Linked DNA regions of Arabidopsis thaliana. The protein of the gene in region 1 interacts with the protein of each later gene in a biochemical or structural test. Each region holds a gene or a part of one and is shown on either strand. Other genes may lie near its edges. The genes, in order: TOR and AT5G38640.

Region 1 (15,385 bases):
GCACATGCTATAGAATAAAAATATCCAGTGACTGCAGAAACAACGTACTGGGAAGCAATTTGACCTCTTGAAATGTAATGCGACATCACTGCTGTATTGAATAATGCCCATGTGTGCCATGCTTTAGCCCATTTAGGAGCATAGCAAGTAGATTTGTCAAACGCATCACGAATTTCTGGAAAAGAGTATATTTGGTCACCAAAGTGTTAAGGTCAGACGTAGTTTGATTACACTTACACATTTAAAAGCAACTACAATTCACCTTGAATAGACCCATCATTCAAACCGGAAGAAAGTGCCCACTGCCACGTTCCCAGTTTGAGATTTACACGTGCAAGAAGTGGAACATTTGCGCCCTTGCTAGATACCATGCTAGCCAGTATGTCAGATTGAGAATGTGGCACACTTGAGAGCTCTCTCGTTAGAATCTAGAAACAATTAAAATTTAGATCGAGGGAAGCTATAACATGGCCGTTCAAGCAAGATATGGGAAAATGTGAAAAAGAGAATAAGCCCAGACAATGCAAGTAGCAACTGGTATATGACATACCTGCAGCTTGGTAAATGCCTCTTTGCGCTTACGTTCCTCTCCAAGTGACCATTGGTATTTTAAGTATCCAAGCATCACTTGTGGAGGTCCGTGATATTGCATGTTTTCTGGTGATACTTCTGGATCAAACTGCAAAATAAGGGCCCAAGTTAGACATAACAGAATAAAGATACACTCTTGGCAGAGAAAATTCAACAATCAAAAGGTAAAAGTTCAAGACCGGTAAGAGCTTGAGTAGAGTAGATTTCGCCTGACTGATCCTCCCACTCTTTCGACAAAGCGAGGCAAACTTGAGCCAAGTTTCCACATCTTCTGTAGGAGGTAGCACAAGTGCCCGGACAGCCAAAAGTGCTTGCCACACCTGAGTAGTATTGGGAATGCAAAGTATTAAAAAGCACACTATTATACAAAAAACCTGAGATCACTCAATAAAATTTTAATGAGTTTTCTTATTTGGATTTGTTTTTTTATCTACGTAGGATACAAGCTCTGACTAACAGTTTGGTAAGAAGCTACTTTACTTTATAAATCAACAGACGGAAACTAAATAAAGCAAACCTAATATGGAAAAAATCAATTTGATCCTAGCGAAGATTCATTTAATAAAGTCACCATACTGCAATATTTGATGCTTAAAATACCAAATGCCTTGTCATTCACTAGTGGCTCAACTAACATGATAACATTAAAAATAATATACCTCCACATTACGCTTAGATCCCTGAATCCGCTGAGTCCACATATTACGAATTAGAGCTCTCCGTTCTTCGGCAATAGTATTTCCCACAGGCAGCGTATAATATTCAATTACCTAGTATCGATACAACAGGGGAAAAAAATAGAAAGATTAATCATGTATATGGAGGGGTGTTAGGGAGGGTGTCCAGGAGAAGGGATCTTGGATAATTGAGATCTAACCTCCTCTAGTTCTGACAGCTGCTGAACACGAACCATATTGCTGTACGCACGCTCATAGCTCTCCAAAACCTGTAGAAGGCGCAAATAGACAATTACAAGTTTTTCAGTATGCGTGAGCAACTAAGAAGGTAACATGGTGATTACATGATGCTTCTATTGAAAGGAACCAACGATAGCATGCACAAAATGTTATTTAAATAGAGCTAAATATGTAACTAAGATGTCAGGAATGTATAATCCTACTTCCAACACCACAAGGCGTACTCAAATAGTTTCAAGAACATAATGGAAAAGGCTGAGACCAGTTACAAATATCTTTGCTGATATACATCTGTTCCCTTTATTCACAACAGATGATTCATAGATATTTTTCACAAAAGTTTATAATGAAAATACTACCAGAAATGAAACCTACCAGCGCTGCAAGTTCTGTGGCAAGACATTTTCTAGCTCTTTCCACATATTCGCGTGCCTCGTCGTACTAAAAAGGAAAGAAAAATATCCACAGGCACACATACGCAGAAATTAGTGTCTGCAAATAGATTATAAGTAAGCCTGATAAGATTTATAGTACGAAAATATAGGTCCAAGTGTACCTTTGCCCTTCGAACTAACAGAACAGCCCTGAAGAATGTGCCATTACTGCTCCCATCGCCACTAGAAACCGGGCTTGCTAAACCCCGAAGCTTTGTTTCATCACCATCATCTAGCCGAGACACATATTCGGCCATTTGATCCCACTCTCCCATGTTCCATGCAGCTTGTGCAGCCTAGTATGGTTGCAAAAAGACATTATGTAACCATGTAGCTATATCACCGAATGTAGCATAAGTAGAAGTTACCAACCATTGGTGCCATTTCCAGACGCGCAGATGGCTCAGCAGGACTCCAGTACTCTTTGCAGAGATTGTTGAGCTCTTCCCATCGTGCAAGTGCAGCAAGACATCTCATTTGTCCTACAACGTGGTAAATAAGCAATAGAATCAGGCCATTTCATGAAAAGAAAAGAGAAGCATCATATGAATTTTAGACTGGAAAAAAATGCGTTGATCTGTTGTTCTGCTAACTTGTAAGAATGTTATGAACCCACAGTTCTCTATGAACTACTAACAGAATACCGACAAAAAAATGCCAACAGAACTTAGAAAAAAACATTATCGAAGAAAAAAACCCACTAAATCCTCCCAATATTAGTCTTGGTTACCACAAACCTAATGTGGCTTCTAATACAAGATGAGGATTTGTTGTTTGAGATGCTTTCAAAGTGTACGCCTTGAGTGCATCGTCCCAGCGCTGCAGCTTCTCATACCTAGAAACAAACACTGTTAGTGCTTTTCCACTGATTAGGATCAAAGAATGGAACCACACACAATCTTGTGACGGAATGCCTATCAAACAGAACTGAAAATAAGTGCATCATGATTCAGAAAAGCCATGTTACCATGATTCTTTTAATTGCACATCAAGATGTTGTTGAGCATAGGTTAGTATACCGACAGCAGCCTATACAAAGAATTCCAACCAATCAATAATAACAAATATCAAAGATGGTCGAAATAGGATACAAAATACAGTGTACCTCATGCTGGTGTAACTGATTATTTATGTGTATAAGAGCCTCGACAACAGCAACTGGGTTGGCATCCATCCTCTTGGATCGTGGACCTTCAAATTCCATCTCTTTATAATGCAGAGCTTTGGCAAAAACACGGCACTACAAAGTTGGAATATTGCACATTACCAAGAAAATCAGATGAATTCTTGATACGCAAATGAAAAAAGTACCAAATCTAATTTAACTAGCAAATACATAACGCAAACCTTTTCAGCAAGAGCCCCCAGAAGACGAATATCAATGGGAAGAGGCTTCTCATCATGTTCCATAAACTCTGCCTAAGAAGAGAAATAATAAAATCAAGCACAAGTGACAGGACCAAGCAACAGGATCACACATAAAGGTAGGTTGATATTGATTCTGAACTTATGATTGTTTATCCAACCTAAACGTAATATAGATTAAACGAAGTATAAGCAGATATTTGGATTATAGTGTTAATATTAGATTAAATAAAAATTACACGTCATGTTTCCATGTACACTCACAGATCGTTTTGTTGATGGTTTTAGCAACAAAAAACGTGTTTTACATAGAAAGATTAACAGGTGCAACCGCTAAAGAAATGGTGACCTAAGAAGTTTTTGTTTCCAGTCTTGGAAAATGTAGTCAACTCATAACAATCGCCTAAGCTAAAACACAAGCACTCAATAAGCACAAGCATAGCCACAGGAAACAAATTTGCTGTTCGTTATAGCCAGTGACTCAATCAAAGGTCTTTATCATGTTTAAGTTTTCTTGTAATGTAACAACGAACATACCAAATTGAGTAGTGTAGCTAAAATTTCTGGAGGGATATTTGGAGATGAAAAGGCCATTTCCAAGCTCCTAACTAACTGCTTTTGGCTAGACTCGTTTAGCTGTGCCCAGCAACTGACAAAGCCAGCAGCAAACAACTCTCTCCCGACAAATGGCTGCAAAACACAATCATTAAAATGCACCCTTTTGAGAGAGGAAAAGAAAGAGCATAGATGAAACACCTGCAACTGAGCAAGTTTTGCACAAGTTCTTAATGCTGGAGAGGGAGACTCCTTAAGTAATTCAATACTAAAATGTCTCATCCATTCCTCCCAATCTTCTTTGGTGCTGCGTTGAGAAGCTTCTCCAGCTGTCCGTAGTCTACCATCATTAACCTGTTCAGCAGATCATCAAAGCCATGAGTGAAAGTTTTAGCTCTTTCAAAACTAAGAAAGAACCAAATAAACTTTACTAGAGGATCATGTTAAATCAAGCCCATATATAGTTTTATTTGTTTTTAAAAGCTGAATGTCCATGGAGAAGAGGAAATATAGAGGACATATTTACAAACTCATTGAAGCAAATGGCTCAGGACCAAGACTAAGCTTCAATGAATGAACGTTGCTATAGATAAACCTACCCATCATTTAGATAGGAAAAAGAAAGAAAAAAAGATCCGCCTTATTCAGCTAAGGAACCCTACAATACACCCCATGTTTGCCTCAATGAAGTCATACTAATAATGACTATGCCGACCAGAAATTTTGTACAATGTTAGAGTAAAATCATGATTTTAACTTGAAACTTGATAACAAAATTTTCACACATTAAGAATCTATATGTGATTATATACGACACAGAAAAGAGTACCTGATGGTTTCTGTCAGTTCCTTCTTCGAAAGGATCGATCTCATTCTCAATTACAGGATCCCTGATAACCTCAACTGGCAGTCGCCTACTTAATTGTTGGGTTGCAGTTGTAGCTACAATCAATGGTTCACGTCTCCGCCAGCGAGCATGAATTTCCTCAAATTCTTTATGCTGAAAAAATGTTGTACAGTGAGATTTTACAGACAGAAGTTCACAAATGACATTTATAATACATGACAGATAAATTTTTGCTGCTATTTTTATTTAAAAGATAGTAAAATGCAAGACCCGCAATCGATGCTTCAATAAAAGCTTGTGAATTGATTCAATGAATATGGTGAAGTCCTCTCCAAGTGCATGAGCCAAACAGCATAGTGCATCGACAGCATCTTTCCGCAACTCATCATTCTTCCTGCGATTACAGAAGATATACCCCATAAGAATATTTATACGTACGAAACTGAAATCACGAGTAAGGTTTAGAAAAACGTGAAATGAAAATCCACTAGAAAACAATTGGGTCCCATCAATAATGGCAGATAAAATCCCATGATATTAAGAAATGTAACTAACATCTGCGGAGTTCTAATAACAAATACATGTGGCCAGAAAAAATTGTAACTAAGCAATACAAACAACTTATGGAAAACAGATTTGTAACAGTAACAATGACGGATTGAAAGTTAATGAGATAATAATAATTCCATCCTTTTTGATAATGCATTGTCAACCATTTAAGAGAAAACCAGATAGTGACACAATGCCTAAGTTTTGAAGAAGTATTGTAAGAAAACCCTTAGGAAAAAGTAACCAATATACTGTTTTTCAGATAGTGACAATCAGTATAACTCACCCATCTAATACTAGCTTCAAGTGATGCACGAGAGCGGAGATATGACCAGTAACCTGAGGATATATACGGATAATTAAAAGTATTACAAGAAGCTTAATATGGAATTTTTTCTGGATCAGCAAAGGGAAAAAAAAAATCAAAATAAATAACCAAAGCTCCTAACCTGAACACACGGGATTACTCTTGTCAAAGTTTTGATGGCATCGCGTCTTATAGCTACAGGAGCATCTACTTTAAACAATCGAATAAGTGCCGGAAGGAGTAAATGCATGTGCTCATCAAGAGTTCCTGCACATAAGGACTCTAAGGGTCAACCATCAGAGTGAAATCTGGCCATGGTGAGAAAATGGAAACTACAGGAGTAAACAATCTGACTATTCAAAGAACCTATATACCGAAAAAAAATTGGATTTAATAGATAAGAAACAAATATGCATATAATAACGAAACTACTTGTATCATCTTACACTACACAATCTAATAATGTGGAACCTCTTTACATTCTTGTAAAAGAACTGCATACGTTAATTACTAGAACTCGCATACCCAAGTAATATAAAATGACTATGAGGATGTCAAAACAAGATAAGTATTACTGACCGCCAAACACTTCGAGTGTGTGGAGAATATCAGGAACATAGGTGTAATCATTAAACCGCTCGGCGTCACCTAATACTTGGATGAAACATGGAAGGATGACTGGAAGATAAGTTCTGAATTCATCATTAAGTGCCAAGCAAAGATGTTCCAGTAGATGCAGAACCTGATTATCAGTAAGAGAGGCGAAGTACTCCCCATAAGATATCTGTCCTTAATCAATAAGAAACATAGCATACTCTAGGCAGCATACAACTTACCGGAAGACCACGTGATGGGCGTATGGGACCGGGCAAGGTGAAGGATGACCATAGTTCAGAGACTAATGAAAGCAGCTCTGGCAGATACTTGCGTATGTGCTGTACACAGATAACATAAGCTATGAGTTTACACAAAGTCGGTCGTATTTTGACCATAACTGAAAATATTAAGGTGGATATACCTGGCGAACAATGGAAACAAGAGTCCCAAGACCCCACGTAATGAAGTCCTTCAGGTTCTCATCAGATGTTCGAACAGTGTGAAAAAGCTCAGGTAAAACCTTCAAATTCAGAGGTGGAACCAACCCAACAAATTACCACAACGTAAAACAGAGAGAGCATTTATCGAAAAGCTGCCGGAGATACAATATTATTTACACCTACCTTCGGCAAGTAAGGCACGCATCCCAATCCCATTGACTAACCTCGCAAAAACAAAGTAGTGATAAAGTTGTAACCTCCTCATTGCAGTTCCAACACAAGTTTATTTTAAAAAACAGTCAAGATGGTTTTAGTTACCTTGAAAATGATCATCAGAGATCTAACAACCCTTTTGTGGTAACTAAGAAGTGATGCATCTCTAAGAATTCGCATAAGCGAGTTGATAGCAACCTATAACAATAAGGAAAGTAATTGAGCACAATTCAGACTACAAATGAAATATATTCACACAAATTAAGAACTACCGTTGAGTAATAATCCTCAGATGTAGCAAATGACGGCCGGAGTTCGACAGGTAACTCATCAATTGATGGAATAGGTTGACCAGAATCACCAGTGCCGCGAGGAACTTCACCATGTGATCCTGATAAACTTTGTTGGTTACGTTTATGCACATGAGGATCCAAAGCGCCCATAATTCCAAGAACCTGTAGATATAACCACGTTTATCACAAAAATATCTTCTAGAATAGTCTAGAGTAAAACAATTCTCTAGAAACTACCTTGAGCACTTCTCGTCTGGTAGACCACACTAAGTCACCCTTCAGCAATTTCAAGAGTAACCCAAGCAACAATGGGTATTCCTTGTATGGAGTCACAACATACCTACGTTCATAATGAAATTAGAGCCGTAAATAACATGCAGGGAGGATTGTAAACTTCTGGAACTCCCTTCATTTTGTACTAGTTATGTGCACAATAATTAGCACATGTCCCAAGCTACTAAACAGTAACATGCAAGTTGATCACCGCACTGTCTACAAATGTCTACAACTTCATAAACACCAGTGATACAGTTGATTAAATCTAGGCAGCATAATATCCTAGGTATTGGTAAATCAATCCTTTCGCACGACAAACAGAGAATACAACTCATGACAAGTCCGGACACAGAAAGGCAATATTCTTTCTCCGGAATAATGAGCCATCTCAGGAGAGACGGAAAAAAAACCATCACAAAGATCTACCGCAGATAGAAGAACTAGCTAGGGATAACAATATTGTCATTTCATATAGAATTTTCTCACTTTTAGTAGGTTAAAGGATAAACATAACACATATGTATACATTAACACATAAACAGCCTAAGGATAGCTCAGGCTTCTACCTAGCTAATAAGAAGAGATGGAGGCCCCGTTTGTGTCAAAAAATTCACTTAGAATCCAGTATTTTCATCTAGTCCAACCAGGCTTTCGCCAATCAAGATAGTAGCATTGTCTTAGTTTACAAGAAAATTAGCATGTTCAAAATTGCCTAGTAGCATTATCATATAAAACAAGAAGAAAGTCGTAAAAGAAGGTCAATATCTCATACCCTGTACTTTGAACAACTTGACCAAGAGTAGAAACAGCCACCTCACGTTTTGCTACAGCAGCTCCATCCATTAAAGCTTCAACAATTAAAGGCATCAGCTCCGGAATATATTGTCTCATTGCCAAGCCACCCTGAGCAAGCAACGCAAAAGAAAACCAGGAAGGGAATATCTTAGCCAAACACAATAAATAACAGGACAGGAAAGGAAATAAAAGTACCAACATTCTGTTAACTTAGAGACAACAAAAAATACAATATTAGATGCCGGCCAGGGCATTGAAATTTGAAATACGCTTAGCCAACACAGACTTAGAACACAGATAGAAATAGTCAAAAATCAGACTGCAACTTTAACGCGCAGCAAAAACGCAGTTATGTTTGAATCGACACTTAATATAGAATCTAAAACTTGCCAATTATATTTCAACTTACCACTCTTGCAAGATCCCCAACAGTTACGAGAACTCCAGTGACAATATTATTGTTAGCATTCACTCCAGTTCCTTCACTAAGTCTCGCAACAAGTGCCTAGAAAACAAGAGTTACAACCCCGTGAACAACAATAATAGCCATACTATCTAAGAAATGAAAAGAAATTAAACCTTTTGGACAGGGGCTACGTATGGAAGAATGAGCCGTTCACAATTTCGAACTAAACAACCAAGGAGCTTTGCACTCTCTTCCCTGCACTTGTTATCTGCACTGCTGACATTACAATTGAAGTCAATGCAACAGATACATAATCATAGGAAATGAATCTTCCCATATGAACTAAAAAATTTGTAGTTACCTCAGCTCAAGATAGGTCAACAACTGTATAAGATGGCGACGAAGTGCTGGAAGTACGTATGCTGGATTTTTTTCCGATAACCTTCCAGCAACTGAGATGGCATATTCTCGAACATCAAGGTCCTGTTAAACAGAGATATTGTAATATATGAATTGAAATGGTTCCATTGACTAGGCCAGATACTGTAGCCAGGTGGAGTGAAAGTGTGAAACATAAGCCAAACATTCTATCAAGTTAACAGGGTATCACATGATGCATCCACCAACAAAAGGCATTCATTCCATCCACAAATCATCCAATTAAGTTATCTCAGCTGCACTTTTCCAGTACAACTTAATAAGTAACACTGTTTTGTGACACAATAGAAGCTAATTCATAGACTAAAAGCCCAGCTACGTCTTGGTATCCAAATTTTGATATTAGGGGGAGTAATTAAATACCAACTTCATGAACCCATGAAATTGAATCTCAAAGAGCAATACAATTACAATAATTCACCCAAGAGAGACAAATAAAAGATCGGTAACAAATTAGGACTGCAGTATGACATCTAAGCTGCTATTTTATTCAAACAAATAACACAATCATACCTCATCATTTAAGGAAGCAAAAATGGCAGTCAAACTATCAGCCTGTGCTAGATAATCATCGAAACATTGGTTGCCAAATAAAGCAACGAATATAGATTTGCGAACAGTTACATCAGCATCTGCAACGGCTGTCCTGAGAAGCTTTTCCACAATCTGCAGAACCCAAACATCATTTCTCAGCAAGCAGAAAATTGGAACCGCCACTGGTATTGCAATTATAAATGCCATCACGAAGCATGTTTAACATACTTAAGTTCAGATTTGGAAAATAATAAAAAGAAACCTTTTGTAATGAGAAACAGTGAAATTAAAAGACATAATAAGAAAAAAATGTAATGGGCTTTCAGTATGATATAAAACCTCTTCCACAAGGCGCCTGCGTCTCCCCCCTGCTCGTGTTGACCTGCTCGAGCCAAATTGTGTGATGCCAGAAAGAGAATTTGCAATTAGTCTGCAACAACACAAAGCAGCATCTTTTCTTGTGGCTGCATCCTCATCATCCAAATAAACAACAACTGACTCCCGAGCAAATTCAAGAAGATCATGTCCCTGCCAGAAATCAGAAGCTCAAAGACAGAAATTTCATATTCTTTAGAAAATGTTATCCGCAAAGAGCGCCAACCTTGAAATTGAAACGAGCAAGAGTCTGCAGGGCTAGTTGAACTTGAGCTGAACAACTAGGGTCAGAAGACTGTGGTGCCATGCCCACTGTACTACCTCGGACAATGGTAACAGGAGGCTTTGCTTGAGAATAATGGGATTTTGAAAGAACCAACGAAATGCAATCTAGAAGCCGATCTTGTACTGTTGGCAGCAAAGAAGGAATGCTGAGATACAAAGAATTGTCAGCATTAAACGTATACACATCAATGTATGTAATAACAAACTTCTTTCGTTCAACTTTACCTGATGGTTATCTGGTCAAGAGCGTCAACAAGTGTGGAAGAGAGACTAGATGAAAACATAACATCTAAAAGATCTCGAACATGAGTTTCCACTGTGGATCCCATTGCCTTTGCGATGTTACCAACACAAGCCACAGCTTCAAGCAAAGGTCTGCCTTTACGTGGAGCAATCTACAGGGACAACATAGTCGAACAAAGCCACTTGTCTAGTTCAGTTTTCAAAACTAAAACCCAATATAATACTTTGACACAAAAGTAGTAAAACGTAATTACAAAATAAATAAATAAATAAATAAAATTTGACCCACCGCATCCCGCAGATGAGACATAATTGTCGGCAAATAATGGATAAGCTCACCATCCAAAGCACCAGCCATTTCCCCAAGGGCGATGAACCCACTGGCTCTTTCAGCCGGTATTCTTAACACAGTAAGAATATGATTCATGCATATCTGCAAGAAAGTAATTCGTGTCACGTTTCCAGAAATTTTTTGGTTTTAAGAATCTCTCAGTCACTTACCGTTAAATAGTTTGTCACAAACCGGTCACGGAGAAAGTGAGCAATGCGAGGCAGTAACGAGGTGATGCTAAGGCGAACAAGGCGATCACGATGTTCAAGGTATCTGAGGACAATTTCGGCAACTTCTCTATACCTAGACATCATGAACTCACCTGTATTCCTGCAAACGAACTCTAGCATTAAGCTGTAAACTCTAACACCCAATATGCCATGAAATCAATCTGCTTATAACAGAAAACAACGTAATTTTCGTCGTCAAGAGTCTTTTGTTCAGGTATACACTGAGAGTGGAGGAATATACATGAATTGCCTACTTTTTTAATGATGTAAACTACAATACGAAGACAAACTAACAAAACAACCCGAGCATCATGGGGACAAACAAGTTGTTCTACGGAAATATTCCAGAATCAAACTTGAGTGTCTGACTAAAAGAAAGGGATGCTTTCAAAATAGATAACCACTTCTGCATTTACCTCAACAGCTCCCCCACGGCAAGTAAAGAACCATGAATACTGTGAACCGGAGCATTTCTGCCCAACCCATCCTGTGTAGCTTCAAACATTCGATAGTACCTGTAAAAGCCAAATTGAGAGAAGATCAGTTAATAAAGATGGAAACCCCTATTGATAATTTGAAACATTGCATTGGCAATGATATATATAAATGCAGTAGAAAGTCTGCAAAACGTATCACCATGGGAAGAATATATATTCGAATATCATCCATTTTGGGGGGGGGGGGGGGACCACAGCATAAAAAGCTAATATAAGTTGCATTTACACAATAAAATATACAAAGTAGTACTTAAATGAGGGTGATTGCAAATGAAAGTATTGCAACAACACAAAGAAAAGCCTTGCATCAAAAATATCATACCAAATACATAACCTAAGGAAAACATTTCAGACATTATCATTTTCAAGGATAAGAGAATACTTACCACTGCACTCGCCATCGAGTCTCCCTTTTCTCAATAACACGAAGGCATGCACGCAAAGCTTCAACAGCTCGTTCTCGCACTTGCAACTGGGGGTCCCTAAGTGCAACCCAGATAGCATCCACAAATTCAGGGACATGAACGTTAAAGACAGTAGAAGCATTTTCGGCCATCTCCTGCAATGTTGCAAGAAAACATCCATATCCGTATTAACTTAGGATTGGAAAGTTATCATCACTATCATTTTTCAAACATCTATAATCCAATTTATTAGTTCAGAAGTTTCTTTCTGAGTAACTAAAAGAAAAAATGATCTGCTTATCTAAAGGATCGGGCAGCTGAAATCAGGATACCTTTAATATTAAAACGGCGGCGAAACGACGATATTCCACCCTGTCTACGCGAAGCCAATCAAAAGCTGTTTTCATCTGTGAAAACGAGATCAAGAATTGAGCAACTATGAGCCGAGACAGTGATAGGAAGGGGAGGGAAACAAACAATCTTACCTGAAACTCCACTTCATCAGAAGTCATTGCTCCACCTGCCCGAGCAAGGTGCCCCAAAACTCTACTAGCAAGCACCAAGATTTCAGGATCACGCTTCAACTCGAACACAGTCCTCATGTAACCCGCAAATCTAGAAACCTTAGTAGCATTCTCACCAAATCCAATCTCCGTCAACTCATCAATGGCTCTGAGTGCACCCATGTTTTCCGCCACATCAGTGCTCTCAATTAAATTAGCAATCCTGTCATATAATTGCTCCATGAACCTAGAGGAAGCTTCACCACTAAGATCACGAACTGCTTCCTCTACGTGTTTCCTAAACGCTAAAGGAGCTCCCTCCTAATACAACAACCAAAAATCATAAACAAAGTCGCATACTTGATGGAAACCAACAACAATAGATCAAAACCCACAAATTGCCAGACCTATAAGAACTAAAACTTCGAATTTTCCATTAACCAGAACAGAGAGATTCCGTCAGATAAGCAATAAAAGCAAAAGGGTTATATGGGTTTCTACTAAAGCATAAAAAGGGAGAATACTTTACAATGTTCTTCATTACCTTAGGATTACCACGGCTGCAAAGGTCAGCGATGACACGATTCAAAGTGTCAAAGCTTCCGCCACCAGAAGCGGTGGCTGAGGGACCACAAAAGCGGTGCGATTGCGAAGGGGAAGCCATGGATGCAGGCCGTCCAGCCACAAAAGATTGCGACGAGGTAGACATCGCTGCAGGGCCAGTCCAGCCACAAAAATCTTCCAAAAACCCTAAATCTGACCCCTTTTTGGTTCAACAACACTTGGGCAGAGAGAGAGTATGTACAGAGGAAGATAGAAGAATCTTCAACACATGATGCGTCGAGAACCGAAGATCGCAGAAGAAATCAAGATTTTTTCTCTTATTTTTTTACAAATTCAATTCGCTGAGTGTCTTTTTAGCTTTCTTAGGTTTTGCTTTGTTCTTTCAGAGACCAATTATCTTTGGTAAATAAATTGGAAAACCCGAAAGGTTTTTACTAGGAAAATATGACTTTTTCCTTGGAAAATTGTAAAACTTATGTTTGTCTATCAAAAACTTATAAATACAATATTTTCATTTTTTTTTGTCACTGATTAATTACTTAAAACCCTGAAAGGGTCTTTGTTTGGGCTATGTAATGTTTAGAATGTTTAATATACACTTGTCAAAGAAAAAAAATTACTTGTGAAAAAAAAAATAGTCAAAAACTCATATTTGTTCACTGGACAATAGAATAACTTTTTTTGTCAAGGAATAACTTTGTAGTTTCTTGAATAAGTTTTCTTTTATTGTCATTTCACTTTATTATTATTATTTCCAATTATGCTTTTAAGCAGATAAGGAGTTTTTAAAATGATCATTAAATTGTAGGAAAATAATAAACTATAGTTTTGTTGTAATTAGTAGTCATTACGAACAAAAATAATGGGGAAAATGAAAAAATTCAATTGAATGCATATGGTTAAGTTTGTCAACAAATTAAATAAATAAGAGGAATAATATCTATACAAAAAAATATCGAATATTAGTCAAATTTTGAATAAAAAATGTCAAATAATAGTAGAATTGTAAAATAGTTGTATGGTAATCGATATATCATATATTGAAAAATTGATGAAATGTGAATCATATCATTCAGTTAATTTGAATTGTTTTTCTTTTTTTTGGTATGGAGTGGATTTGAATTGTTAGATGTGATGAAACTTTGTTTTTCTATTCATAAAAATTCTAAATCATAGAAATCATTATTTATTCTCCAATGGTAAATTTTTGTTTTGCTTGTATGTTAAGTAGTATTCATATTCATATGTATAGGAAAAACTAAAGAAATGGCTCCTCCAAAATATAGTTCGTGTTTCTCCGTTGTTACAACGAAAATAATCACAATGATTGTGTATGACAAAATAAGCATTACATTCGAAAATTAAACGAAGCACATCCAACATAAAATTTCAAAAGAGTTGTGGCTTGTGGGAGGCTATAGCATCGCTTGGTTTCATCGTACACATCAAGGATGGTGAATAGACAGGGTCCAAGTGTTAACGTTGCGCAATCCCATAACGTGACAAGAATGTCGGTGAAAATATTGGTGTTCTTTTCTCTCCAAATTAATAAACTACAACTAAGAGTACTATTTAAAAAAGAGTTAAAATGACACAAAATAACTCAATTTTTTATATCATTAACGCATTATACGTATAGAATTTAAATAATAACATATACATTTCCATATAGGATAAATAACCTCATCAAAAAAAAAGAAGAATTTTATTATTAGTTTAGACTTTTTTGTCAATATTAATTTATTAGCTTCTTAAGTTTTATATTATTAGCAAAGGATAATGATGCCAACTATATACATGCGTGCTCCAACTTTTGGGACCAATTCATCTAACCTAAGTGATAAACAGATAGATAAATTATCCACTTCTAACTATTTTCCATCAGCTTATTTCAAAATTTAAAAGCTAAATCATTTCAAATCAAAAAGGTCTTTGGCTTTTTTTTATCCACTGTTCCATTATTTCTCTCTTCCATTAAAAAAACTGCATTTTACAAGATCTTTCAGTTTTTAGAAGTAATCAAGTATCAGTGCCAAAAAAAGCTACATTAAAATCTTACAAATTACAGTATACGACGTATTCCTATTTTCAATCGTTATCTAAGTAGAAATATATTTAATAAAACGTGTGAAATGTCAATAAAACAACAACAAAATGTACATACATTAAAAAGAATTCAAGACCAGCAAAAATATATATACACGTTACTATTTAATCTCTTGATATGTTTCCTGTATAAAAGAAAAAAATCTACCATATAAACCTCAATAACGATTCCAGAAATTATATCAAAATTGTAAAAGACAAAAACATTTAACTAAAAAAATCATATAAAGGAGTAAAGAAATAAATCTATTTAGAACACTAGAAATTTCAAGGTTAAGAATCAATACATA
Region 2 (15,800 bases), on another chromosome or scaffold:
CAAGCACTGCGGAAACTACCGTCGTCGTCGCTTATAAGAAGCTGTTGAATGGTGGAAGCTGTTGCGGTGGCGTTGTCGAGAGCTTGGAGCATTGGAACAAGGGCAAGAGAAGAAAGATTGGTCGGAGAAGGAAGAGCTATTGGAGAGTTGTTGAGAGAGGAGACACAGAAGTTGTAATCGAAGATCGTGGATTTGGCTGCGCAAGATTTGCAGGTTTGGTCGATCATATCGGACGTTGACTTTACTTGTGAGACAAGGAAGAATAAGAAGATAATGTAGAAGACTTGAGAGAGCTTCATTGTTTTTCTAGTTATGAGATTCTTCTTAATTCTTTTGTTTGGTTGATATATAGAGAGATGAATGTATACGTACGACGTCGTTTGCGTTGTGGGAATATTTGACTATTTAAGATGGTTGAGTTGTTGTTCAAAAAAAAAAAAGATGGTTGAGTAAAGTGTCATCAACAATGGGTTTTCACTTGCTTCTACTCTAATACAAATGTATTCCTCAAGCAATATAATTAGTTCGGTATTATGAGAACATTCTGCGTTAAATACTTAAATGCAATTTAGAAGAAAATTAAAGAAGTTGTCAAATGTCATTATTGCATGGACAGTTACTTTTGAAAATTGATTGCAAATTCAAAGTGAAAAATTTGCTTCAAATTTTATTCTAGGTTAGTTAAGTTTCAATTGGAAGATAGTACCGTTCTTTACGTTTACATTTTTCTCCATTTCAAATATACGTATAAACTTAATACGCCAATTTAGACAAATGTAAATGTTTGATTTTATTTTGGAGTATTTCTTTAGTTCCGATTTAGACAAATGTAAATGTCTCATTTTAATACGAAATTATAATTAAAATTATCCAATCAGTACTCTATTTCTAATTCAGTAATAGTGATCCAAATATATACTATAACTCTCCATTTATTATTGACTGTGAACCAAAAAAAATTCCAACTAACTGTGAACAATTTGATTTTCATTTTGTAACGGATTTTACAACAAAATCGACAAGCTCCTCAAGAATCTACTTTACTTAGGCAATATGTTAACTGTTAAATTAAATGGGATACTTTCTTAAATTATTTAGTTATTTTAGTTCAAACTTATATTGAAATGAACTTCAAATTTAAAGGAAAAACTACATTGTTTATATCTTTTGTTCCTCCAGTGTTAATGTTGTTGGAATCATTTTGTACGAAAAAATAATCAATTTTTGTAACAAATATTTTGGTTCACCACAAATATACCAAAATTTTGTAATAGAAAGATTTAAAAAATAGTTTGTTTACTTCTATAATACATACATTTCATAGTTACTCAAAAAAAAAAATTATATTAATAAATTGACATTTTTCCCAAGTTTATAAGGTATCATGTATTCGAGTTTGAAGATCAGCAAAGATGTGTATTTTAATTGAGATATTATATAAAAATACTGAATACATCCAAAAAAGTATCTTCCCACATTTCTCATTCTTTCATTTATTTGTGCATCTTCTACTTAATTACTATTTCTCTCATATAGTTTCCTCGTTAGGTCATACATTGAGGATAGTTATGGATGACTTGCTTCACAATGAACAAGTCATGGTCTGTTTGCATTGTTGACAATGACATAGTTGCTCGGCAGTAGTTAATATTACTTGTGTCACCGTAGACCATTTTATAGAGCATAAATAATGCCATAGTATCCATAGATGAAAAAAAATAAAGTATAATTATTTTTTACCGTCTCTCAATTGTATACTTGTCGATAGTGACGCAAGTAATGTGAATCTCAATCTTATGGTCTCGTCGAAACTGCTGGAGATGACTCTATGAAAGGTCGTGGTCATGTCCTCTCTTTCTCGGTCGTAAGAGAACAAATTATTTGTTTAAGCTGTATATTTGTTGTTTGCGGTCCTAACAAGCTAATCTAGCTAGGTCCTAAAACAAAATATTTGTTTAAGCTGTATATGTCATATGATCAATTTTATTGGTGTGCATTTGAATCTAAGTTATAGAAAAAGAGCGTATATCATTGGATAATGTGTTACTTGAATAGTGATGACTATGTTCGATTGAAAGGCATTTAAAAAGAGGAAAGTGAAGGGCATTCTATTTCTCTACCATTGCAATGCATGCATCGGAGTATGCAGGACATGCATGAATGAACATAATGTATGCAGGACATGCATGAATGAACATAATCTAGCTTTGATCACTTTGTATCATGTTGATCTTGGTCCCCACTCTGAGACTTTAAGAATGAAACAGAGGAACCTGAAGTTTATTCAGTGGCAATTTCTTTGTAGAATGTGTAAATGATACAATTGCATACCAGTTGGTTAACTCTATGTATATAATCGAAATTTCACCTGATTCTCTTATCATACTCATTGGTTAGCTACCAATTTTGCCATAAATTAAAGACATTTCCTTTTTTTTTATCCGATTAAGATTTATAAAAAGACATGAGTTTGTTGGACTTAAAACTACAAATACAAAACATAGAAACAGAACACAAATATTATCATTAAACCAAACTGATGAAGCAGAGAACCAGTTTGAGTTCGATCAATTTCCCTCATACATATATGGAAAACTGATCGAGGTCAAACCAGATCATTCATTACATTGCTAGAACAAATAAATCTCTAATAGAATCAATACATACAGATAACAAAGAGAAGTTGATTTGAAAACTGCAGAGAGATTATCTTCAAACTGCTGCAATAGTGTTTGCAAAGTCATTGAAACAATCAGAGAATCGTAGATTATCTCCATCCAAACATCTCTGAAACACCAAATCTGCATCTTCAAGGCTTTGAAAATAAGAAAACGGATTTGTATCCACCGAGACTTGATCATCAACACCAACATCGTTCAAAATACTTGCACTAGTCGTCTCCTGATGAGTAGTGTTGTCCGAAAACCAATCATCTATCGAGCTTTCAAAAGGGGTGTTGAAGTCAATGAGTTGATCAATAGCCATGTCTTGATTGTAATATAGGTTAACTTCAGGTAAAGCAGCGTTGTTGTTGTTGTTGTTGTTATTATCCGTAACACAAAAAGTTTCACAAATCGAGAGAATCTGATCTTGTTCTTCAGTGATTTCATTGAAAATTTCAGGTGATTTATCAGGGACGCAACAGATTGCAGAACTACTGGACTGAATATCTAGGGTTTGATTTGGCTCTTGAGTAATATCGTTGAGATTTTCAGGGATGCAACAAACTGCAGAAGCGGACTGAAAAATTAGGGTTTGATCTTGAGTTCCGTGAACATCGCTCTTCTCATTCTTCTTCAAGTCCTTGTGATCGTTAACGCAAGCTTCATCCGCACGCAACTCCTTGAGATTACTCAACAGAGTCCACATGGAACCGATCGCTTCACTAATCTCTTGAGGATTCTCCGATCTCACAAGGCTCTCGTCATTCCACCAAAACCCTAACCCTAGATTCTTGCGAGTCAAACAGATACCAACGTCCTCCCTCGTCTCTTTGTTATCCTTCGGAGCCGAAACAGGACGTTTTCCGGAGAGAAAAGCAGAGACAACGGCATCAACAGAGGAGTGACCGAAAGAGTAGAAAGAGACGTCGGATTCAGAAGAAGGAGGAGTCGCTAAGATAGCGATTTGTGCGTCGGAGAGAAGACAAAGCTGAGAGGCTTTGCTATAGAGACCTTTACGGCGTTTGGTGCAGGTAACCCTAAGGGAATCTCTCTTCTGTATCGTCTCAATCGCAATCTTTCTCTTCGTGCCTTTCACCATTCTGATTGATTTTTTTCTCAATTTTCAGATAATTGAAGTGAAGGCTTCTTCTATCTCTCAGTCTCATATATATAAGGGACTATCGAATCTCATATGAAAAAGGAAATATCGAAACCCCATATCATCCTCCTTAACCGATTAAACCACATGGACCGTAATATGGGCTAAGCCTAACCATCCACCAGAATCCCCTTTTTTTTTTTTTTTTCATCCTTTCTTATTTGCTTATGTACAAGCATAACATTATTGATGATAAATTATTCAAAGATGGACAAGAATAGATATATAATTTCAACTATGCTCTATGGACCTTCGCCACACAAAAACAAAAAAAAACAAAAAAAGAATTACCTAAGACTCTTTTTAATAGTTTAAAAACAAAATTTATAAAATAACTAAATTTTGCCTCCAAATTATTTATATTACTATTAATTTTATAAACAAATTTAGTATTTATTTATTAGTGTAGTATTTAATTAGAACGTTAGATAATTTATTTATTTTTATTTTGATAATTTTTAGTTATTTTCTTATCATTCATATTTATTTAGCGATATTTTTAGTTATTTTGTTTTATAATTATTTTCTTAGATTCTACAAAAAAAAAATTGTCAGATTATTATGAGAGACACAAACAAATATATAGTTGGTTCTTCACATTATCGTGTTTATTCTTTCTAATCACAAGATCAACAATGTAGTATCACTCTTAAAATGTGATTATGAAGTTAACAAAGCTTACATGGTAGCAGAAGAAAACATTGTTAACGACCGGAAGACTTACACTTTGCCACACTTTCTTTATTTTTCATAACAAAGAGATACTTTTGGAGAATTTCATCTTTTTTACTATTCAATATTAATCAATACTGTTTTGCCTCTGAAATAAAAATCTATGGGTGTGTGTCATTGTAATTCTCTCAAAATAAAAATAAAAATAGGCAAAGTAGACATAAACAAAAGATCTTTACTCTAATCAGTTTTGTGAGTGACACAAAGCTCCATTTTTTTACCCTTAAATCAAATTACTAATAATAATTAAAAAATCTTATAAAAATAATATTTCTGGCAAATCACTCTGGTTGACCTCAAACTCAAAGTCGAGTAATTGCCGATCTAAAACACAGGGGGTGATTCAGAAATCCCCAAAATTCGACTAAAAACTAAAACCCTAGCCCTAATTCATCCTGATTTTGATCGCCGTATAAAAGACTCGCATTTTCTGGGCTTAGTATGGCGGTTCCGGTGCTGGGTGGATTTCCGATCTTCATGGTAGTGAGAGTTTTGGGTTTCATCATCGCGGCTTTGGTTTTGACATGGACTGTTCATTACAGAGGAGGCTTAGCTCTTTCTTCTGATAACAAAGATCACATCTTTAATGTAATTCTCTCGATTGTTGTTTTGACTCACATGTGAAATGGATTGGATGAAATGTTCTTGTTGCTGTATCTGAGATTCATATTTCTTGATTGTGTTGTTGAGATATTGAAATTTGGATTTTACTTTTCTGTGTGATCACAAGCTATGATCTGAGACTCATATTTGGATGTATAATGTCATCATTGGTAGATATATATCTGATGATGTCAAATGTCTTTGTTTTTAGGTTCATCCAGTGATGATGGTGATTGGACTCATACTCTTCAATGGAGAAGGTAAGCAAACAATCTCCTTCACATGTTAAGAGTTTGTAGTATATTACCGTCTTAACTTCATATTTTAGACTTCAAATTTGTAGTATATTACCGTCTGGCGACTATTCTAATGTCAAGAGGTTTTAGTATTCGTTGTATCGGTTTTCATGTTCGATTTCCGCATACTTCATTTGTCAAAGAGACTGAACTGTTGAATTGCCCTTTTTAACATTTGAGTACATTGAAATTTTATGTCAAGAGGTTTAGGACTCATAGGATTAGTTTTTTTTGTTTTTAGTTACGGCATTGTTAATTCGGTAAAGAGACCATGGACATGTTTTCGTTTCTAACATGAACGGTACCTTCAACTTATGCAGCTATGTTAGCATATAAGTCAGTTCAAGGTACAAAGAACTTGAAAAAACTGGTTCATCTTACACTACAACTCACAGCATTTATTCTAAGCCTGATCGGAGTGTGGGCTGCTCTCAAGTTCCATATTGACAAAGGGATCGAAAATTTCTACAGTCTCCATTCGTGGCTCGGCCTTGCTTGCCTCTTTCTCTTTGCATTCCAGGTACACTCTCTGTTCTGACTTGTTTTAAAATAACAATCTCCATTACTCAGTAAGAATAAATATCAAGAACTCACTCAAATCTATTGTTACAAACAGTGGGCTGCAGGGTTTGTGACTTATTGGTACCCGGGTGGTTCAAGAAACAGCAGAGCCAGTTTGATGCCATGGCATGTGTTCTTAGGGATTTCCATATATGCATTGGCGTTGGTGACTGCAACCACAGGGATACTTGAGAAGGTGACGTTCCTGCAAGTGAATCAAGTGATAACTCGGTATTCCACAGAGGCAATGTTAGTCAACACAATGGGCGTTCTAATCCTTATTCTTGGCGGTTTCGTGATACTCGGTGTGGTTACTCCGGTCAGTGGCAAGGATCAAGTTCTCACACAATAGAGTAAACCCTCGAAAAGATCTCTTTCAACATTTCGACCTATCGAAACATTGTTTATTTAAGAGACAATTTGTGATGTAATTGAGTCTTTTTGAACTGATTTAACGAGCAGTGCATATATGACTGTAATACAAGTAAAGCATGAGAACACGTGTAACCAATGTTGAAGACTGAACCCAACAAAAATTGGCATAGAATCTGAGAAAGATTTGTATCAACCTCCATGAGAAGGGAGAGTAAGAGAAGCCTCACTCATACATCACAGACAAAGAAAAACATCACCGATATCGATAAAATCTTCCCGGAGAGGCGGATGATGAATCGCACTCTTCACAGAGTCAAAAGTTTCTAAAAACAAGTCAAGGCCAAAAAAAATGAACCCGGTACTCAGGAAAAGAAGCGGATGAGGGGAGGCAGTGCCGGTAGTTATTCTATCTGGGTTGTGATGAGAAGAGCCTGAGCTAGAGGAGGGGGTTGGAGAAGAAGAGCTTTCGCAAAAATGAGCTTTGCTTAGACAAGCAAGTGTTCTTTCTGATATTCTCTCACGATGACAGGCACACTTGTGGGAGGTACCTGAAAACGAAAACATTGCGTTCAATGGTTTGAGATTCTGAATAAGTGGAGAAACTGTATTTTATAGGTCTGAGACTTCAGGAACCTAATGCTATGTTTTTAAGAGACGATGGTTAATCTTACCATGCCATAATCTGTGATTATCATGGAAATGTAATCTGAAGGTGTAGCATCATACCTGTCATTAGAAAAATCACAAACGAGTTTAGTGGCAGAGAGGATTAGTATTAACAGAACATAGTTTCACTTCTCCGATAAACACAAGCTTACATCAAGTTCAAAAACTGCAGGTTTGCGTTGTTGGTCAAGCCATCTAAATAGTTTATGTCTTCTCTTCCATGAACTTCTGAAATAGCATTTGGATCACCTAAAGGTAAAGAAGCAAGAAACCCAATGTAAGGTAAAACAAAATCAAAGGCGGTATAAGATGATACTGATATCGAGAGAAGATATTGCATACCAAGCTCATTGGAACATATTGAATCCAATTGCACCCTCTCATGGAACTTGTAGGCTTCGCAACATACAAGCACAGGAACACGGAATGCATTTGCAACCATTGCAACACAAGCAGTCCCAACCCTTGAATAAACTGTTCCGTTAGACAAAACTGACGAGGCGCCCAAAAACACTTTGGTGACTTCATGCATGATATATGAAATGGCATTTATATGAGTGTATGTACAGTTAATGCCTCGTTTGATCAATCTACGAAGCAGTAGCTGCCCTTCAAGCTTTGGACGAGAATCCACCACCAAGACTCGAAACTTTTTCCTGAGTTCATGTGCATGTAATATTACCATCTCAACAGCAGTGGGAGATCCGTAGGTCAGAAGGACATCACCGTCTCTTATTTTAGTAACAGCATGTTTGACTATCACCGTATCTGCCACTATGATCTTCTCGTTAATGAACCGTTCAATATCTGACTGAAGAGTAGCTTTTGCTTCAGATTCAGAAAGTGTTATAGGCAGCTTTGCAATCCTGTTTTTCACAAATCGTATTGCGTTTCCCATGCTAATCGAAAGCGGACGGCATTCTATGAGGAAGGAGACGTAGCTACTTATTTTCGCAGTCATGTCCCTGTTAAGAGACTTCTCAGGCGGTGTTGAATAATCTTTGACAACCTCTTGGAATGCTTGGAGCATCGCAATACACCTGGCATTGCCACCAGAGATATCCCCAGAAAGATATTGAAGACCAACCTGATACCACAACAACTGATACTCATTCAGTATACAAGTAACATTCATCTTAATGAAGCAATATAAACCACTCATTAGAACAAACGGTTCCTTGTTTTAACAAAGAGATTATTAATAGTTTATTAGAAGCACCAACCAGATAAATTCAAGAGAAAACAAATACCTTGTACACAGCAGGATGCATAGGGTCAAGTTGGAAGAACTTAGTCTCGAGATCAGGAAGTTGAGTGCCATGCTCATACTGAGGCAAATGCCTAAATAGCTCAACCCTGTTTTTAGCCTCGGTCTGTTTTACAACAGCACGTCTTTTAGCCTTCACGACTCTACTCTCATCATCATACTGCATGCGGGGATGAGGAGCATCTTTCTTTCTATCTTTTTCAGATGGACCTCCCTTCTTCTCAGCTGCTCCAGTAGCAACAGCAACATCATTCTTCTGAGATGTAGCCTTCGCTGGTTTAGCAGCTTTAACACTTGTTGAAGCCACCGAGGCTGAGGACACTGGTGCCACCTTCCCACCATCAGCTGATATAGCACAGTATTACACAGACTGATTAAGATATTGCAAAATACACAACGATAACACAACAGAGCAACCAGCATATCAAATCTCTGTACTAAGCTGACGAATCATTCATTGCGATAAAACCACACATTGGTTTAAATCAAAAATGCACCTTTTGCAGCAGCTTTAGCAGCTCTTTGAGCTTCTTGAATAGCTCGTCTCTCAGCTTTAGTGGTTTTCTCTTTCAATGGCTTCTTCTGGTCACTCTGCACCTCCATTCCACTAGCCTTCTCTGCAATTATATAACATTGTGAATACATTAGCCTCATATATCCTAAAGAACAAATTTCAAAATCAATCAAATTATGATTCCACAAGATCAAAAGTGAGAGTACCAGAAAGTCCAGGAGGCATGGTAACGACGGAGACAGTGGTTAAACCACTAGCAGGAACACTACTAGATTTAGCAGCAGCCATAGAATCCATCCCAATACCAGGCAGCGAAGAAGCAACAGGAACAGATGATTTTACGAAACTACCCCTGGAATGGCGTCCAGGAGACGCCGTCGTTGATCCATCAGGGAAATCACGGCGACTTGAGTAAGAAAACGAAGAAGGAGACACGGCTGACGCAGCAGCACCAGCGACAGCGACTCGAAGAGGGAAAGTATCAGAGGAATTGAGACGAGGAGGAGGAATCATGACGGGGGAGAGTGAGTTACCGGAAGGAGAAATGGTGGAAGAAGAAGAAGAAGCAGAGGTAGCAGCGATCGGGTCGGGTTGTTGTTGTTGAGTTGATGAATCGGGTTGAGATGATGTGAAGAAACCGACTTGTCGGACCTTTGGATCTACTACGGCGCGAGGGTTCCGACGAGACTCCATCGCGTCGGAGGAGAAGAAGCTCTGGATTTTTTCTCGGTGAAGACGGAATTATTAATTTTGGGGATCGAATTTAATTTTTGTTTTCCCAGACGAATAAAACGTAGAATAGGGTTTTTATTTTTATTTATTTACTTTTTCAGATTTATCCGATGTTAACAGTCCAGTCCGAGTCACTAAAACAATCTTACTTTGTTCTTTTGTTTTTGTTTTGTTTAGAGTATTAATCCATATGCAATTTATTTATTCTAATAGAATCTAGTATCCAAGGTTTTGGTGTCAGTAACATAATAATGAAATAGGAGCATAATCTTATTTAAATAACTAAGCAAGTCCAACAAATTGTGAACTGAGAGAGATAAGAACTGAAACACAGTTCATATGTTTTATCATGTTCAGAGCAAAGGAGACACAGTATAGAGAAGAGATCAAACAACAAGTAGATTCTTTTAGGGCTGGTGGAAATTCATAACATGATCTTACTCAGATTAAAAAGCATATGAGACCTGACGAAGGAAATACTTTGATGGTGGTGACTACATGAAACTTGGGGAAGCTGGGCCTTTGGAGAGACCAAGCCGAACTTCCATCCCGTGGTGAAAGTCTACTGGTTTCAGCGTCTCGGATTCGCGAGGATCTGTAGATTATACACCATTCATCGTCAGAACAATATAAATTGTGAAACTAAGAGAATTAAAAAGTTTAAACATTTTTCTCTTATATACTGAACCAAAAGTTCAACTTTGGTTACACAATGTAAGTAAGTAGTATGTGACAGTCAATTTTTGAGCAATGCTCGATGATTTGTGACAGTCTAACTGGAACAAAGGTTTGTCACTGTCTATTGGTGTTTTGGAGTGGAACAATCTACAAAGTAGAGACTAGTAAGCGAAACGAAATAAACAAGTTGAGACACTTTTCTATTATATGCTAAACAAAGAGTTAAACTCTATGCAAGGATGAGGATGATTTGGTTACACAATGCAAGCAGTATGTGACGGTCATGTTTTGAGAAATGCTCAAAGATTGTAGGAATAGAAAACTCTAATGCACAACCAAATGGGAAAACTGGTGTAAAACAATTACCATTCAAGTAATCCTCAAAACCAAAATTATCTAGAGCTCCTGTGTAGACTTCAAGGCCAAGCATTGATGAAGGAATTGGTCCAGGAGGTCTCTGAAACCTGAATACTCCACATAAAAAGATATACAATAAATATTCAATTCACCAATAAATATTCAATGAAGAAGAGGCTGCTCTATGCGTTTATGGTTCTGAATTCAATCTACATATTGCTACTAATTTAAGAGTATCCACTACGCGTTTATGGTTCTGCAAATCTAATTCTAAGTAGCACTACACGATTATGATTCCGAATTTTCGATATAATCATTATGATGATTCATATACACATTTGTACTAACAATATTTCAAAATTCAGAACAGCAATTGACCTAATCAAGATAGATTACTAGCATTAGGAAACCATATTTCAATCTTAACAGTATTCTATAAAGCCTAAGGAAGATTCTCATACATTCTCATACCTAATAATCAGTGTAATTCAGAATTTCATATGCTACAGATTTAAAGATCCATACCGAGAAAGGATTTGTCTATCAAGATCCATCTTCAAAGGAAGAGCAGCTCCATAAGTATGCGTGATCACTCTCCTCTTCATTTCTTCTTGTGATTGCTTCCCCTGAAATCACAATAAACAAGTTTATAGAAAGGAAAAAAAAAAACTAATTTCAGAAACCCCGTCAAAAAATCCCAATTCTCAAATTTCTGAATCAACACGAAGCTTATTCATCAACACCCTAAGTTCCTTAATTAGCCTAATTTTCTAATTCCTCAATATCAATAAAAAAAAAAAAAAAGATTGTGAAGTGATTGATTACAGATTCGTAAGCCGTTTCGAGAGGATGAGATCTAAGGATATCGCTCTTAACGCCGTGAAGACCAAAGCGAAGAGCATCGTTCTTCATACCTCCGATCTCATGAGCTATCTTCTTCTGCGACTCCATCTCTCCTCTTCCTCTTCGTTTTTTTTTCCTCCGCCGTTCTACTTTTAACTTTCTCGGCGACTTTCTGGGCAAGCAAGCAAGGCAAAAGTTTCAGAGAAAGAAGAAGGAATGATTTTGCTTAAGTTTAGTAGAATGAATTTTATGTAAAGCTCAAACTCAAGGCCCATTTGGGCTTTTCTTATTTGTAAGCCCATAAAACTCTTTTTTCTGTCGCATATTTCTTTCCTAACCTTTTTTCTTTCTTACAACACATTTTTCTTTTCTAACTTATGTGCTTAATTTGATACTTTTTTTAAGGCTTTAGTTTGGTAATTTAAAACAAACTAATATATTTTGTATTGTTCACCAAGATATGAATAATATACAGTATATGTATTTTGTTTACTCAAATCAAAATTACTCTAGAACACGTTGCAATCGTAGCTTGTCCCCTTCCGACCGTATTACCATTCGACAAGGCTAGTTCCAATTCCCATTTCTGTAAATAGTATGAACTTTTTATACATAGGATAATTATATAGAATTGATTTACAAGACCAAAATAACATTGACTGAAAACGTCGCCGTATACATGATTGTCTATGTTCAAGAGGTAGAAGATACAGAGTTGGTGGAGAGGTTGGAAATCAGTCTTACTTCATAGAGATTCTCACTTTCTCCTTTACCTTCAAAGCAAAACAACAATAATAATTTTTTAAGAACCGAGAACAAGAAATTCATAAACATGAATGGAGAATTGATTCACTACTTACCGACTTCTGCCGTGATGTTTGGTCCAAAGAAGGAAGTGAATTTCGCCTATCAAAACAAAATTTTTATGCTTAGTTCCAGCTTTATGTTTTGCTACTTCTTAAAAACTAGATTTGATAAAACCAACGCTACTTAAGCTATTTTCTTATGCGCCAAGCTGATTTGTTAGTAGTATATGAATCTAACTCTTACCTGTCTTTTTTCAAAATCTGACAACGTCAGAGCTTTGGCCTCAAATACAAGGACCACACAGTACCGACCATCGGTCAGGACCTACAGACATGATGAGTTATCAAAAATGATCCGTTTAAGTTTAGTTTCACCAGTCAATATCCATGTCATATGCAAGTAAAAATTGAGTTATATATTTTGATGATTCATGTAAATAATATGATGTAAAGTCATGCGCGTGAAGAAATGTACCTCTTCCCTTATCAGCTGTAAGATAGGTGCACTACGTCTCGGGATTCCTCCTCCCTTATGACCAAAACAGTCGAAAGAAAGAGAGGTTAAAGCGGAAGTACAAGAAGCGTGTGTTGTGCTTCATTTTGTTTTCGTGCTTCATTTTGTTTCAACAAAATAGCTTACCAGCCCATATTGAAAGATTCGTTTTAGTGCTTCTTCCAAATGTTGTTCATCTCCATAACGGTATCTCGTGACATCATTTCTAACCTAATAAAAGAAAGAAGAAGGCACATTAACAATTCACGAGAAGTAAATTTAAAATCCTATGTGCACTGACAAAACTACGATGTGATGTCATATAGGGAAACTAAACTGAGCAAGACTTTCTGCAAAAGAACCTATGATACTGAAATCAAGCTAGTGTTTAGATTGAATTTCGAAATACTAATGACGAAAACTACTAACACCCCTTCCTCTTATCAGAAACATAAATATGTTTTAGGAAATTAATGTAACAAAGACGAGCTGAAGAACAACTAAAATCAGATTGAAGGTACTCCGGTCAGTCGAGAGTAACCAGAACCACTACGTACCTGCGTTAAAATAGGAGTAGCACAGCTTTCTCTAAGCTTCACCGCATCCGAATAGCTCAAGCAAGGAACTGGTTTGAGTTCTGCGTACTGCAAAGGAAGCAAAACCCATCCTCAGGGACTAAAACAATTAACCATTCCGAAAACTCAAAGAAAGAAATGAGTAACTCTAATACAAAAGTCAATTTTCTCAGTAATTTTACAGTTATCCGAAACATTCCACTTTCTCAAGGACATGATAGTGAGAAAGATAACTAAAGAGCATAAAGAGCATACCTTAAGAGCCATTCCGATAATAGAAAGGGGAAATCCATATGTTAGCATTATAGCAGACCACTCAGTTCCAGGAAGGATAGTAAAATAGGCCCCAAAACCATACCTGTTAAACAGATCCATAATGCTAAACCTCACATATACCCATAGCAACAAAGAAGGCAAGAGAAAACTCACGAGAGTAGCGAAACCCCGAGACCTAGCCCAATAACACCAAATGAAATCTGCAATGCAAAACATATGGAAAAAATTTCAGTGTCCAAAATTATTCCAACGCACATTCAATACCACCTATAAACTATGAGTTGCATACATCAAATCCTTCCTAATTCTCAATTTCAGACCACTAATAATCGAATCTACCTACTTGGAGAGACACTATACTTTTACCATAAATCTCACACAGTTCACAAAATTGGACAAGGCAATGACTGATTCAGGAATAGTTAATTATATAAACACAATGAATTTGAAGAAACTCTTTAATTAGGGATTTAAAACCTTGGCTAAAGTGAATTCATCATCAGGAATTAAGGTTCTATCACCGGAAGCTACTGATGGAGAAGAGCTCGTGGAATCAGCAGCTCTTCCGACGACATCGAGCTTTAAAACCTCTCTTTTCAACCTCGTCTCGGGAATATAAAGCCATCTCTGCTTTGGCATCAGAGACGGTTGTGAGGACGAAACGACGGATAGATTCTCATGGCGACGACCGCAAAGATCTAGCCGCCGACTGGAGAATAAGACGGTGGTTCCCGGAGCTACCGTTATAGATCCCATTTTCTTCCTCTTCTCTTCTCTCTCTGTGTATCTTTTGTGAGAGTAGTAATGTGAGGCTGAGGTAAAGAAGTGTATCGGCCGCCAAAATTCTGGCCACGGTTCACCTATTCTAAATTCGGTCTACTAAACCCGGTCAACAATCAAAATCAATTGGCGGTTCGGATTCTATTGACTATGGAAAGTTGAACCGGTTTTTCCTTAAGCAAAGACGTGAGCCGGTTTTGGAAATTTCTTTATAAAGACCGATCCTTGAAGTTCTCTGCAAAGTTGGAGAAGAAGCGGTACACGATGCAGTCGCAAACGAACCCTAATCCGTCACTTCCCGATGATTTGATATTGAGCTGCGTCGCACGGGTCTCAAGATTGTATTATCCGGCTCTCTCCCTCGTCTCCAAGAGCTTTCGATCTCTCATAGCTTCACCGGAGCTTTACAAGACCCGATCACTCTTGGACCGCACGGAGAGTTGTCTCTATGTGTGCTTAAAGTTAAATCCTTAAGATGAGAAACCGAGGTGGTTTACTCTTTTCCGTAAACATACTGGAACCCTAAAGTCAAGTGGGTATGTTTTGGCTACAGTCCCATTTCCACATACTCCTCTTGAGTCATCTTCTTCGAGCATTGTGTCGGTTTGTTCTAGTATCTACAACATTGGCGGATATGAATTGCCTTCCTCTAGCGTCTAGATTCTGTATTGCACGTCTAACACGTGGCACGAGGGCCCTAGGTTGCGGGTGAAGCTAATGTCATGTACTGCTTGCGTTCTTGATGAAAAGATATATGTATCAGGAAGATGCAAAGATGGCGACTCCATGACGTTCCAAGTGTTTGACACAAATACACAAACTTGGGATCCTTTGTCTGTCCCTTGCAGCGAGACAAAACACGACTTTCACTACAAAATCGTAAGGTTTGACGGAAAATTGCACCTGGTGAGCTACAAAGGTGTGGATGCTTACAATTCCAAGGAAGGTAGATGGGACCTGGTTACACCAAGCATAGAACATAATAAGTATTTATATGATTGTTATCGCAATATAGGGAATGTTTGGTACACTATTGTAAAAGGAGATATCTCAACGTCCGTATGGTGGTATCACAGTGAGGAAAGAGAGTGGAGAGACTTGAAGGGTATGGTAGGATTACCTAAGTTCCCTATTGATGCTTGTCTTAGAATGGTTGATTATGGTGGGAAGATGGCAGTTTTGTGGGACGACTATTTGCCTGGGCGCCGAAAGAAGATGATTTGGTGTGCGGAGATTGCGCTTGAAAGACGCGGAAGTTTGGAAATATGGGGAAAAGTTGAATGGTTTGCTCATGTGCTTACAGTCCCTAGACAATATGAATTCGTCAAGGTTCTTGCTGCTACTCTTTGATGAATGCGTTACGAGCCTTGAAACTATGATTTTGTCCCTTGTTTCACTTCTAATTAATTTATGTCACTTATTGA

Evidence for each region.
Region 2: of the proteins of TOR (region 1) and AT5G38640, one has a biochemical effect on the other in vitro, tested with the Arabidopsis thaliana proteins (one large-scale study listed by BioGRID).

What each region holds. Positions count from the first base shown.
Region 1 is NC_003070.9:18,526,486-18,541,870, forward strand, and holds the start of TOR (target of rapamycin), read right to left. Parts: upstream 13,511-15,385; 5' UTR 13,135-13,510; coding exon 12,970-13,134; intron 12,747-12,969; coding exon 12,408-12,746; intron 12,330-12,407; coding exon 12,255-12,329; intron 12,078-12,254; coding exon 11,905-12,077; intron 11,537-11,904; coding exon 11,438-11,536; intron 11,122-11,437; coding exon 10,962-11,121; intron 10,894-10,961; coding exon 10,750-10,893; intron 10,613-10,749; coding exon 10,443-10,612; intron 10,364-10,442; coding exon 10,159-10,363; intron 10,086-10,158; coding exon 9,897-10,085; intron 9,690-9,896; coding exon 9,537-9,689; intron 9,069-9,536; coding exon 8,947-9,068; intron 8,859-8,946; coding exon 8,759-8,858; intron 8,685-8,758; coding exon 8,589-8,684; intron 8,288-8,588; coding exon 8,157-8,287; intron 7,449-8,156; coding exon 7,346-7,448; intron 7,271-7,345; coding exon 7,088-7,270; intron 7,014-7,087; coding exon 6,921-7,013; intron 6,822-6,920; coding exon 6,786-6,821; intron 6,683-6,785; and 43 more. UniProt on the Arabidopsis thaliana protein: Essential cell growth regulator that controls development from early embryo to seed production. Controls plant growth in environmental stress conditions. Acts through the phosphorylation of downstream effectors that are recruited by the binding partner RAPTOR.
Region 2 is NC_003076.8:15,461,146-15,476,945, forward strand, and holds AT5G38640 (NagB/RpiA/CoA transferase-like superfamily protein), read right to left. Parts: upstream 9,580-15,800; 5' UTR 9,530-9,579; coding exon 9,043-9,529; intron 8,940-9,042; coding exon 8,820-8,939; intron 8,668-8,819; coding exon 8,306-8,667; intron 8,143-8,305; coding exon 7,398-8,142; intron 7,305-7,397; coding exon 7,208-7,304; intron 7,116-7,207; coding exon 7,061-7,115; intron 7,041-7,060; exon of another isoform or gene 6,938-7,040; coding exon 6,875-6,937; 3' UTR 6,534-6,874; downstream 1-6,533. Other genes in the region: AT5G38610 (Plant invertase/pectin methylesterase inhibitor superfamily protein), read right to left, coding at 1-299; AT5G38620 (MADS-box transcription factor family protein), read right to left, coding at 2,713-3,762; CYB-1 (cytochrome B561-1), read left to right, coding at 4,996-5,142, 5,369-5,417, 5,774-5,973, 6,070-6,366; APE1 (acclimation of photosynthesis to environment), read right to left, coding at 10,063-10,163, 10,613-10,710, 11,129-11,229, 11,429-11,618, 12,191-12,219, 12,311-12,352, 12,497-12,577, 12,728-12,781 and 5 more; AT5G38650 (Proteasome maturation factor UMP1), read right to left, coding at 10,063-10,163, 10,613-10,710, 11,129-11,229, 11,429-11,554; AT5G38670 (Galactose oxidase/kelch repeat superfamily protein), read left to right, coding at 14,641-14,826, 15,037-15,726.